Bombyx mori: one gene and its partners. The protein of the gene in region 1 purifies or fractionates together with the protein of each later gene. This does not show direct contact. Links are inferred from orthologs where the notes say so. Each region holds a gene or a part of one and is shown on either strand. Other genes may lie near its edges.

Region 1 (3,712 bases):
CCACGTTGTACCTTTCCGACCACTTAGGCAGCTTCTTTAGAGCTGTGAGCGTACACTTGATGACACTGATTTTGCTTATTGTGGTGTTCTTCAATAGTGAATATTTTTTCATTGGTAAAGAGGATATTTCTGTGTATTTTATTTTTTATTTTTACTGGTGATAGAACCTCTTGTCAGTTTGCACCGATACGTACCACCACCCTGCCTGTTTCTCTCGTGAAGCAGTAATGCGTTTCGGTTTGAAGGGTGGGGCAGCCATTGTAACTATACTGAGATCTTAGAACTCATATCTCAAGGCTGCACTTACGTTGTAATGTCTATAGGCTCCGATAACCGCTTAACACCAGGTAAGCGGAGAGCTCGTCCACCCATCTATGTAATAAATAAAAAAGTAATGAAGACGAAAAATGTGAAATGGCGCGAAATCGAAAGAATTTTTTTAAATTTTGTTCTAAATTCAAAATAATTAAAAAGTTGAAAAAAGAAAAGTTTTTATGTAAAAGTATTTATGGCCAGACTAATTATAAAAATTATATCTAAGCCCCCTATCAAAAACAGACATTATTTTTACTTTACCATTTACAGGAAATAATTGCTGGAATATTGGACTTAGATCATAGAGCATGGAAAAACCCACAACGAGAATATGGTGATGTGCAAAGGAAGAAGGTCTTAGAATTTATAAATGGCTGGAAACCATTTGATCCTGTAAAAAAATAGTGTTTTACTAATAAATAATTAGAACTTATTTTGTTTTATTTTTCATTTTTCATCATTTCTTCAATAAGTTTTTGTCGTTCTGCAGCTTGTCTCATTTTTCTGAAAACTAGAGACTCATAATCTCTATCTGATACCAAAGATGGTTCTCCATTGACTGTTTTATTGGTAGTAAGCACTGGTCTATCATTAACCCATTTTAAAGTTAAAGGGTTGTCAGGTAGGCCTGAAATGACACTCAAATTATAAATTTTTATCACAAAAAATATTTCATGAACTTTTTAATGTCTCTTATAGTATCGAGACCAGCTAACATGGGCAGCTTAACTGTAGGTAAAAAGTAATACTATTTAGATTACCTTTTTCTAACTGAACAGCCATTTCTGCTGCTTCCTTAGTAGCAAATTCTATTAAGGCACTACCTCGACTCTTGGATGATATTACTAAAGCAACAATGTCACCATATTTCTTCAAGAACTTTCTTAATGTAGCTTCATCATAAGTACTATTATTCTGATCAGTTTTATCAACTTTCCACTTAATCTTAATTCTATTCAAACTTGGATCCCAAACAGGTTCTTTCATTCGTTCTACACTTTTTTGTATTTCATTTTTCATTCTTTGTTGCTCTTCCAATAATAGACGACTTCCCTCTCTTTGTAGCCTTTCAATCTCTTTTGCAAGTCTCTGAGAATCTGTAAGGTTTGTATGTGTGCCAGATGCTGCTTCTCTTTCTCGTTTTTCTAAATCTTCTTTGAGTTTTTGTCTTTTACTGTCTAATTCTTGATGCCTTAACTTTGCGGAAGCTTTAGCACGTAGCACTTTATCATAAGCTGCTCTAGCAGAAGTATCAGTTAATATTTCTAATGCTTGGGATAATTCGTGAAATGTTTCTGCCGCTTTAGGGTCATCTGGGTTTTTGTCTGGGTGGCATTGTAAAGCCTTTTTTCTGTATGCTTTTTTGATCTTGAAATATTATAAAAATCAATTTTAACCTGTTTAGTTATCACCATGATTTTGGTCACAAAACCATGTTTATGGATAAGCCACCATGGACCTAAGTACTAGTGAACACAAATGTGAAAGAAATACAAGCTAGTTGAGTTTGTTTGCTCATTCTTCTCAGAGCTGTGGCATTTTTTAACACATAGTTCAAGACATAGGGCATTCATGTTGAGATAAATAATTTGAATTTGACTACCTTACCACCAGTTAATCACAAATGTCTCGAGGTACATATTCACGATGTGCTGCCTATAGGCACCGGTAGCCGCTTAATATCGTTCCTCGCTACATCAAGGCGAAATCTAAACAAATCGACTAAGGTCCTCGACCTTGACCACCGTTGCCTTTCGACTCATTAAGCCTAAAGTACATGACGAAGGCTGGTAGTAGACGTAGAATGTAATAAGTATTTTCGTTCGCTTTGTTTACCTCCGATTCGGTTGCAGTTATTTGTAAATCAAGCACAGCATATAGGTCAATTTCTTCAATATTTATTTTCGTCATTTTATTTAAATTTTCAAAGTCAATATTATTTTTTGTTTGAGTTTTATAGTCGGATTTTTTATTAGACGAAGTCAACTGACGTTTACTGTGTTGTCAGTTTTTGAGTATGTACCGGTAAAATGGGGCGATTAGGGATTGAAAGGCGAATCGGGAAAAAACCGGGAAAATCTTTCGACGCTCAATATAAGTTTTATATTCGTTGCAAAATCTTCCATTTTTTTGTAGTTTAATAGTAGAATGTTGAAAGTTCACAAAACAACTCTGCATATGCATGATAATAGCTGCTAACTTATAAAAAATCGCGTTTCAAATTAAATTTCTTGTGGTGGTAATTATTTTAGTGCTAGAAACTTTACTCTCTTTTATTTATTTGATAATAATAGAAGACGACGATGATTTATAAACGTTATTTAGGGTTTGAACCAGCATATATATTAAAGGTAAGTCTCAGTTGTTATTGGTTTTAATGTATTTGATTAAATAAAAATACATGTAAAAATCTGTTGTTTTTGGGGATATTGGGGACGTCTTAGGTACAAATAACAACGAAAAAGGGGTCAATTGGGATGAGCATACGTGAAATGGAAACGACCTAAGTATAAATAGGTACAGGTTTGTAGGGTTGTCTATGTAGTTATAACAATATTTTTTAAATTTGTTGGTAAAAATCTGGTTTATCGAAGCGAAATTGGGAATAAGTCTTTAGTTGAAATAGATAAGCAATTTAATATAAGTAAGTCGATTTTGCAGAGACATGTAACAAGATCAATGAAATCTCAAGGTGGACAAAAATGTCTTACATAATAAAATATTTAATATTTGTTCAGAGTGGGGGTATTCATCTGATTAATCCATGGAATAACCGACACACCTAATCTCTTAACCCAGATAGAAATATCAGCCCCTAAGTACTTACCAAGAACGGAGAAATATAAACCGTTTCTAAGAAAGCCCACTATATATGTGTAAATATATATATATATATTTTTTTTTTTTTGTTGTTACTGCACTGTCGATTGCACCTATAATTGAGGTGATGTCTGCCATGTACTTTTGTCAGTTTTTCTATTTTTTTTATTGATGATCACTTTGTTGGTGCAACTAAATAAATAAATAAATTAAAACTATATATAAAAATACAAGTAGTGCCAACCCTAGCAAATTTCTCATTTCGTCCCAATTAACCGCAATTTTCGGGTAAATAGGGATTACACCTATTTTTGCATTTTTTGCTTAAACTGGAATGCTAGTTGCATAATTTTAAATTAGACAACAAAGATGCCCCCAAGACTCAATCATTTTGATCCTGATATAGCATTATATACATCAACAACTACCTTAAAATTGCTCATAAAGTTGGAATTTGTCCCTAATCGCCCCATTTTACGGTACCTATTCTATGTATTATCTGTGACTGTTTTTTATGGGATTTTATGACCTGGTAACTAAGACCTTTAAGTCATGTCTTATTTTAATTTATATTCTT
Region 2 (4,442 bases), on another chromosome or scaffold:
TGTCATATACAGAGTGTCCCAGAACTCAACATCTAGCCGAATCGGGGTGACAGGATTGATTGTAACCATGCGTTTGTTATCAGCAAATGTCCCTACACGTAAATTCAACAATTCCTGAATCACGGTCATAAGATGTCACACAGTTGATAGATGTTCTCGTATTTCTCTTGCTAAATCAAAAGAATGGAAAGCAGTCGACATCACCCCAAACACGTCATTTCGGATCCTCCCGATCCACTAACGGTGCTTTTAGGTACCTCAAGCACCGATCACCGTTCCCGTCGAACCCGTCGCTTGCGAGGAAGGGCTCGTCGAGTAAATTAACCCTCAGACACAGCCCACTGAGTTTCTCGCCGGATCTTCTCAGTGGGTTGCGTTTCCGATCCGGTGGTAGATTCTGCGAAGCACGGCTCTTGCTAGAGTTCGTGTTAGCAACGTCGTCAGATTTGAGCCCCGTGAGTTCACCTACTAGTTAAGGTTCTGCTGAAATAGCCTCGCAAGGCTATCAGCTTAGGTAGGAAAAAAAAAGCTAAATCATACTTACCTGGCGTAGGGATACCGTGATTATGCAGGCGGTTTCCACAGGGTGAGGCTGCTCCATTGCACTGCGGGTTGGTTGATTCTTGCGATTATTTTAATTTTTATAAGTTTCACTTCTACCGTGTCACACGTAATGTGTGTGACATGCACACACACATTTTTTTCTTCTGATTTTTCTCATGATGGCTTTTTTTTTCTTTTTTTTTTTGGCTTAGATGGTTGGACGAGCTCACAGCCCACCTGGTGTTAAGTGGTTACTGGAGCCCATAGACATCCACAACGTAAATGCGCCACCCACCTTGAGATACAAGTTCTAAGGTCTCGAGTATAGTTACAACGGCTGCCCAGCCCTTCAAACTGAAACGCATTACTGCTTCAGGGCAGAAATAGACAGGGCGGAGGTACCTACCCGTGCGGATTCACAAGAGGTCCTAACACCAGTAATTACGCAAATTATAATTATGCGGCTTTTATTTTTATTACACGATGTTATTCCTTCACCGTGGAAGTCAATCGTGAACATTTGTTGAGTACGTATTTCTTTAGAAAAATTGGTACCCGCCTGAGATTTGAACACCGGTGCATCGCTCAACACGAATGCACTGGACGTCTTATCCTTTAGGCGACGACGACTTCATATGAGAAAACTTGGGGCAGTTGTGTCATTATTTTTGAGTGCGGTTCTAGAAATGTTATGTAGGGTTACGGTTCCAAAGTTTAAATGAACAAAAATAACAAAAATTAACCACAATAACCGAAAAATGGTTAAAGTTTGACCAAATTTCTAGGTTTTTAATGGCCATAATTTCCAAACTGGATGGGATAGATTTTTTTTCTGATTTTTCTCATGATGGTTACAATCAATCCTGTCACCCCGTTTCGGCTTGACGTTGAGTTCTCACACACCCTGTATAGTTTAACAAATAAGATATGACCTAAAGGTCTATGTTACGTTAGGTCATAAAATAAAAAATATATATATTGAAATTTTTATTTTACCTATATCTTGTGTATGTATTGTCTATGGATTAAAGGCTATATGGGCTTAGATCCCCTTGCCTTTCCTAATAAGGAAAATTTGTACAAAAAAAAATGTCGATGGATTATAGAATTTAGATTTCATTGATTTATCCTTACATCTCAATTTATTAAATTTTCGCTAAATGGAGACGTTTTAATGAAAATTATTGCATATTTAAGTAGTAGTTATTCAAATTTAATTGATTTCATTTATTTATAAGCTGAATAAACACTATCCAACATGCCCCGGATTATGATAAAAGGTGGCGTTTGGCGCAACACCGAGGTTTGTTATTTTACTATTTTGTATTCTTTATTAATACTTTCTTATGATTCCTTAATACTAATGTTATTTGTGTGTCACTTTAGGATGAAATCCTTAAAGCGGCTGTAATGAAATATGGGAAAAATCAGTGGTCTCGTATAGCTTCGTTGCTCCATCGTAAATCTGCAAAACAATGTAAAGCCCGTTGGTACGAGTGGTTAGATCCAAGTATAAAGAAAACAGAATGGTCCCGAGAAGAGGACGAGAAGTTGTTGCACTTGGCCAAATTGATGCCAACTCAGTGGAGGACCATTGCTCCTATCATCGGACGTACTGCTGCACAATGTTTGGAAAGATACGAATATTTGTTGTAAGTAATTAATTATCTTGTTAAGTTTGAGTTCCTTGTATCTAATAAAACAGAGTAAAGTAGTTAGGTTTGGTTTCAATCACTCACATAGGTATCTGAAAAAGTTGCTTTGGTGTTAGCATCAATAATTAATCACACTAAACAAATCAGGCAACAGTAAGCAAGATAGATAGTGTAGAACTAGAGATCTGAATTGACCATCTTGTAGTTTGTGTGATGATTAAATACAATTATTTTAATATTCTAAATAGACAGATGGGGTTCATAGACATCATAATGTGAATGTGACTGCCATACAGCTTTAGAAATAATGTGGAAATCAATTGTTTTATGCAACGGCTATCTCGCTTTTCAAGTTTAAAGCATTCTTCTTTCAAGCATATTTTCCAGTTTAAAAATGCTGGATCTTCGGCAAATGGAACAGAAATGGAACAAAAACACAGGTTCACAACACAATCTGTCAGACCACAGATGCTTATCTATGAATATTATAAAATTCTGTAAACTCCTTTAATTCTCATCTAGAGACCAAGCCCAAAAGAAAGAGGAAGGTGAGGACATGGGTGATGATCCACGTAAGCTGAAGCCTGGTGAGATTGATCCTAATCCAGAAACAAAACCTGCTAGACCTGATCCAAAAGATATGGATGAAGATGGTAAGCAAATCATATTTGAAAAATCATTTAGTCTTTTAGTTATGAATTCAGTTAATAATGTGAATTTAGGTTAGAGTTCACTGTATAGTTTAGTATATTTTTGCATAATTGAAAACACAGAATGTAAAAAGAACCATTAGCTCTTAAAAATGAAGACAAGTTAGTGATAGTTATGAATTCCAAGTATGTTGATGATGCACTTCATGCTGATTTCAACAACAGCAACAAGTTTTTACATCGTCCCATAAGTGATATACTCATTTTAGCTGTATATCTTTAAGAATGTATGTGTGAACAACATCAGAAGTTTACACGTGCTGTGTTTCATTTTTGTGTCACAATGATCTTTTTCCTTCAAATTTATAAAAATGAAGACTAGATAAAAAATTATTGTTGATCACGATATAATTTTGGCTTTAAGAGTGATACTTTTACACCAGCTAGAGAGGCCATTTAGAAAATGTACACTATAGACTTTGAGGGTAAAGAACGAGTGCTGTACATGTACTTCACAGCCAAAGCTTAGAATTGTATTGTTTCATGATTTTTGATTATAATTTTATTCTTGATAACTAGAATTGGAGATGCTCTCAGAAGCTCGTGCACGTTTAGCTAACACTCAGGGTAAGAAAGCTAAAAGGAAGGCTCGTGAAAAGCAATTAGAAGAGGCCCGTCGTCTTGCTGCACTACAGAAGCGAAGGGAACTCAGTGCTGCTGGGATAGCTGTACCATTAAGGTTTAAAAACACAATAAGTTATATGTATATGAAATAGACAAAAAAAAGTAAATATTTTACATTCAATTGGTCGTGTAAAATTGAGTAACATTTTTATATTTTTTAAGATTGTCTTTGCATAGGCGGATGAACAAGCTGATAGCCTACTTGCTGTTATTATTATTATTATTTATAATAATATTATTATTAATATAATGCTTCATTGTTCCCCAGGCGTAAAAAAAAACGTGGCGTTGATTATAATGCTGAGATACCATTTGAAAAGAGACCAGCGTCTGGTTTCTATGACACTTCGACTGAAGTAGTTGATCCCATGGCTCCTGATTTCTCAAGACTCCGACAACAACACCTTGACGGTGAATTACATTCTGAGAAAGAGGAGGTTGGTTACATGTACTTAATTTATACTTAAAGTTGTTAAGTTAGGGAAGTAAGGAAGTAGGGAATATGAGATGCTGCTTCTATCTACATTTTTTTTATATTCATGTATATTTTTTCTACCTATCTATTCTGTGGTTAAAAATTATAAAGATTTTATTTTATTACAAAATTTTATTCTAATATTTTTAGAGAGAACGTCGCAAGGATAAGCAAAAGTTAAAACAACGCAAGGAAAATGATGTGCCACAAGCCATGCTACAAGGTGATGCTCCGGCAAGAAAACGCAGCAAACTTGTGCTGCCAGAGCCACAAGTTACTGATCAAGTATGTTATTTTTTAATTCCATCTATCAAAAGTAGATCTACTGTGATCATTGATAGACCAAATATCAAAAACTTTAAATAACTGTTGAAAATTAAAATATTGAAGAGAAATCAAAATTATAAGTTTTTACAATTATTTTTTTTTTTTTAT
Region 3 (4,348 bases), on another chromosome or scaffold:
TTTTTAAAATAAAATAATTTGTTATCTATGTTCTGCTTCTGTAGGTTTGTGATTTAGAAATAGTACGAAAGTCATAAGTAATCAATAATAATTTTATGCTACAGTTAGATATTTTATGGATTTTAATAATAATCAGGGAAAAACATTGATTTCAAAATATATTTCTAAAAAGTCTAGTTCTCCATTAAAGTGTGGAGTAGTTTTCTTAATTCATTTTAATTTCTATCAAGCAACTAACACAATTGAGATTTTGATTCAAAATATGCTAATGATAGCTTCACATTGAGTTTAATTTTGACAAAATAAGTTATAAAATAAGATAACTAAACCTGAAGATAATTAAATAGACAAACATATCTACAGAAACGACCTTGAAACTAGTGACAGCCCACACAATAGCAAATTGCAAACTTTATTTAGTAAAAAATATATTTATATGACTACTTTTTTTTTCAATTAAAAACTGAATCGTTAGTACTTAAAATCCCAACGTGTTAGCTTCGTAATTACGGTTCAACTGCAATAATTGCAGTATTTCATATATTTATTCAAATGTTTTTTAAAAGCAAATGTCAATTAGTATGCAGCTAAATTGACAAATTTAGACAGCAACATTTTTCGCAACGTAACACAGCTTACATACTACGTAAACACAACGTATATCTACGTACAGTCAGGTTCGCACCATGCTAAAATCGATATATTCAATTCAAAAACACATTTTCGTGCGGCAAAACAAAATCATACCTGCAGGCTTTAATGGAACTATTTCCTGGACTAAATCGCCCCGTTTTAATAGTTCGGTGAATATTACTTCTATTGTAAGCATTAGCGGCGTATAATTGTCTGTTTCGACCTGTAATATAAATGTTAAAATCACGAATTACAAATGTAACCTATGACGCATTACATTTTTCGTTGTACTAAATGAACAAGGGATTTCATGCTCACCTCAAACATCTGCAATATATCAGCAAGATTGTTCGCATGTTTTCTGGAGTTAAGAAACTCATTTGCTTTATTACGAAGCTGTCCCGAAATCATTTTCGAAAAATTTTGTTGCACAGCAGCCATTTTTGTATTGAAAAGGATTGACAAAAAGTGACAACTGATCAGGCGGGCAACCTTAGAAAATATGGTTTCGTTTAGTAATTAGGTAAACGACTAATGAACATGCCTGTGCCTAGGAAACTCTTATTTTATTTTCTAAAAATATATTAATTGAAATCAAAATCAGAATTAATAGCTTTATATTAAAGTAGGTTCACATCAAATCTTTTTAATCGTTTTAACTATATTATCTAAAAAAACAAACCACTAGAGCAACAATGTAAGCTTGCATTAAAATAATCTCTGTGAAAATACACAAATATTATTACGAAATATTAGTTTAAAAACTAACCATAAGACATTTAAATGATATTTTTTGATAGTATTAAAACATTGCTAAATTATTAGTGCTGCTCTTTACCTATGTTTTTTTCATACAGTCCAATTCGTTTATTTTCGTTTAGAAATGAAACCAGATTTTAAGGTTATCTTGCTGTCAAAGTCAAAACTTGTTCAAAACAATCTTTAGAGCATCGGCAGTTGTTTTGGATAATTATTTTTCGGAAATATTTTCAAAATATAGTTATCAATATTAAAAATGGACGGAGATTTATATGACGAATTTGGAAACTACATCGGGCCAGACTTGGAGTCTGATTCTGAAGACGAACAGAGTGTATATGGTCAGGATAATCGTGAAGGTGATGAGGAAGCAATGGAGGAGGACGAGGACGCAGACGCGGAGCCCGAAGTTGCGCCTATGTCCGTCGTTCTTCATGAGGACAAACGGTAAAACTTTTTCATTTAAAACTAACAAATAAAGCGGCCTTACAAGATGTTAACCCACTTTACCGGTACTAGCGACGCACATGCTAGACCATAGAACAAGCACACTCAGACCTCGAATACCTAATATTTTTAACAAAGAAAAAAGTACTGAGAAAAGCTATGCTCTGTTTTGGTATTTGTTAAAATTAGTTATTGATTAATAATAACATTATTAACCATCAAACTTCAGTTACTATCCTCAAGCTGTAGAAGTGTATGGACCCGACGTAGAGACAGTCGTCCAAGAAGAAGATACACAGGCTCTCGACAAACCCCTGGTAGAGCCTGTGAAACACAAGAAGTTCCAGGTTCAAGAACAGCAGCTACCAGAGACCACCTACGACATGGAGTACATGGCTGACATGTTAGATAATACTAACTTAATCAGAAATATTACGTTAATGGGCCACTTGCACAATGGTATGTGATGTGATTTCAATGAAATAAATAAGAGACAAGTCATCCATGAGCTTTTTGTAGAGCTTTTATTTGTTAATAATAAATTAATTTGATTATTATTATTACATTTTCTATAATTACCATTCAACTTATAATGTTGAGTTTCATAAAAACTACTTTATACTATGTACACACAGATAACCGTAAAATCTTTAAAGTGTATTGAATAAAATAAAATGAAACTATTGGAATTATATTATTATTATTATATATAGAGGCCTATTTTCTGCAGTGGACGGCGATAGGCTGAAATGATGATGATGATGATGATGATGATGATTAAATGCAAGAAAACTGAAGAAAAGACTAAGATTTAAGTGATCAATATTAATCTAAAATAGGATTTAGTAACAAAAATAAAAAAATGTGCAGATCAGAAAAAGAAATTTCATATTTCCTATCGAAAATTAGTGAGTGTTATTTGATCTTCTTAAAACTGTTTTATTTCAGGAAAAACATCTTTTGTAGACTGTCTCATGAGACAGACACATCCTGGAACAATTAACAATGAGACAACAATACCTATAAGGTATACAGATACTCTGTTTGTGGAGCAAGAGCGAGGAGTGTCGATAAAGTCCATGCCGGTAACATTGCTATTGAAGGATATAAAGGGAAAGTCACATTTATTGAATATCATGGATACTCCAGGTCACGTGAACTTCAGTGATGAGGTGACTGCTGCTTTGCGGATATCGGATGGTAATTTTTTTACTGAAGAGGAAAGCTTATTTGTGAAATACTTATCAATTCTCAATACTCATAAAAGCAATTTAACCAACAATCAAAGTCATGTGTGTTTCTTTATTTGACATTATAACCATAAGTCGACATCTGAGCATTTTTAATTGTTGAGGTTATTATCAAAAATGTACACGCTTCACAAATGCTGCCTATGAAAATTCATTTTAAAATATTTTTTAAAAAGAGGTTTCAGTATAAACAAATACAGGTTAATTTTGTCTTTTATAGGAGCGGTACTCTTTGTGGACGCTGCTGAAGGTATAATGCTCAACACGGAGCGAATGTTACGTCATGCAGTACAAGAAAGAATTCATTTAACTCTTTGCATCAACAAAATAGACAGGCTAATGCTTGAGCTAAAATTACCTCCTGCAGATGCCTATTATAAGCTCAGGCATATTATTGATGAGCTGAATTCTATGCTGGAGACCAATCAACCTCAGGATAATCCTGATGAGCCTCCAATTGTATTTTCACCACTTCTGGGTAAGTTATTAGTATCTCCTATAGCCAGGTTTGTCACCAACCATACCTGGAGTATAAGTAACAACAATTGTACTGTACTAAGTTTCATGTCAATTGGAATGGATCAATTTCAAATAAACATTGTGTCTTAGATAAGGTACAGAACATTGCCAAAAGTTGTTTTTTTTTTTCATTTTTATTTTTTTTATTTTTTTATTGCCTTTGTAGGCAGACGAGCATACGGCCCACCTGATGGTAAGTGGTCACCGTCGCTCATGGACGTCAGCTTAGCCAGGGGCAGAGCCAAGCCGCTGCCTACCATAAAGTACTCTTTGGACCAAATGTGAATTCAAATGGTAATTATGTAGCCATCTACACAAATAAGAGAAATGAATACTTTAATCCATTTTTAAGGCGATTGCTAAGTTGAATGAGTATACTGTTGTCCAGGTAATGTCTGCTTCGCGTCAACATTGTACGACGTGTGTTTCTCTCTGGAATCGTTTGCGGCGATGTACGCTGCCTCGTACCCTGCGTGCGGACTGCGGGCATCCGACATGGCGGGCTGGCTGTGGGGCGATGTCTACTTCAACGCGAAGACTAGACGCTTCACGAAGAAACAACCTCATGCCTCTGCTCAGAGAAGCTTCGTGGAGTTCATATTGGAGCCGCTGTACAAGATTTTTGCTCAAGTAATTGATTGTAAATAATAATTAATTAGAAAATATCAACAATCCATGGATTGACCCTGCAGATACCGGACCCGTTATGGTGCGGAGAGAGGTATTTAGAGAATGCCAGT

The links.
Region 2: the proteins of DnaJ-15 (region 1) and cell division cycle 5-like protein purify together in Homo sapiens (affinity purification with mass spectrometry; 3 studies listed by BioGRID and IntAct, with this or other methods). This does not show direct contact. The link is inferred for Bombyx mori from reciprocal best matches to the Homo sapiens genes DNAJC17 and CDC5L.
Region 3: the proteins of DnaJ-15 (region 1) and 116 kDa U5 small nuclear ribonucleoprotein component purify together in Homo sapiens (affinity purification with mass spectrometry; 4 studies listed by BioGRID and IntAct, with this or other methods). This does not show direct contact. The link is inferred for Bombyx mori from reciprocal best matches to the Homo sapiens genes DNAJC17 and EFTUD2.

Annotation. Positions count from the first base shown.
Region 1 is NC_085124.1:8,540,721-8,544,432, reverse strand, and holds DnaJ-15 (uncharacterized protein LOC101739460), read right to left. Parts: upstream 2,287-3,712; 5' UTR 2,227-2,286; coding exon 2,152-2,226; intron 1,684-2,151; coding exon 1,077-1,683; intron 944-1,076; coding exon 756-943; 3' UTR 721-755; downstream 1-720. Other genes in the region: CWF19-like protein 2 homolog, read left to right, coding at 586-720. UniProt on the Homo sapiens protein: May negatively affect PAX8-induced thyroglobulin/TG transcription.
Region 2 is NC_085115.1:11,711,740-11,716,181, forward strand, and holds the start of cell division cycle 5-like protein, read left to right. Parts: upstream 1-1,543; 5' UTR 1,544-1,801; coding exon 1,802-1,846; intron 1,847-1,929; coding exon 1,930-2,195; intron 2,196-2,720; coding exon 2,721-2,851; intron 2,852-3,427; coding exon 3,428-3,587; intron 3,588-3,800; coding exon 3,801-3,969; intron 3,970-4,157; coding exon 4,158-4,292; intron 4,293-4,442.
Region 3 is NC_085121.1:1,483,770-1,488,117, reverse strand, and holds the start of 116 kDa U5 small nuclear ribonucleoprotein component, read left to right. Parts: upstream 1-1,515; 5' UTR 1,516-1,648; coding exon 1,649-1,839; intron 1,840-2,068; coding exon 2,069-2,298; intron 2,299-2,787; coding exon 2,788-3,039; intron 3,040-3,309; coding exon 3,310-3,567; intron 3,568-3,996; coding exon 3,997-4,238; intron 4,239-4,348. Other genes in the region: nucleolar complex protein 4 homolog B, read right to left, coding at 748-856, 952-1,074. UniProt on the Homo sapiens protein: Required for pre-mRNA splicing as component of the spliceosome, including pre-catalytic, catalytic and post-catalytic spliceosomal complexes. Component of the U5 snRNP and the U4/U6-U5 tri-snRNP complex, a building block of the spliceosome.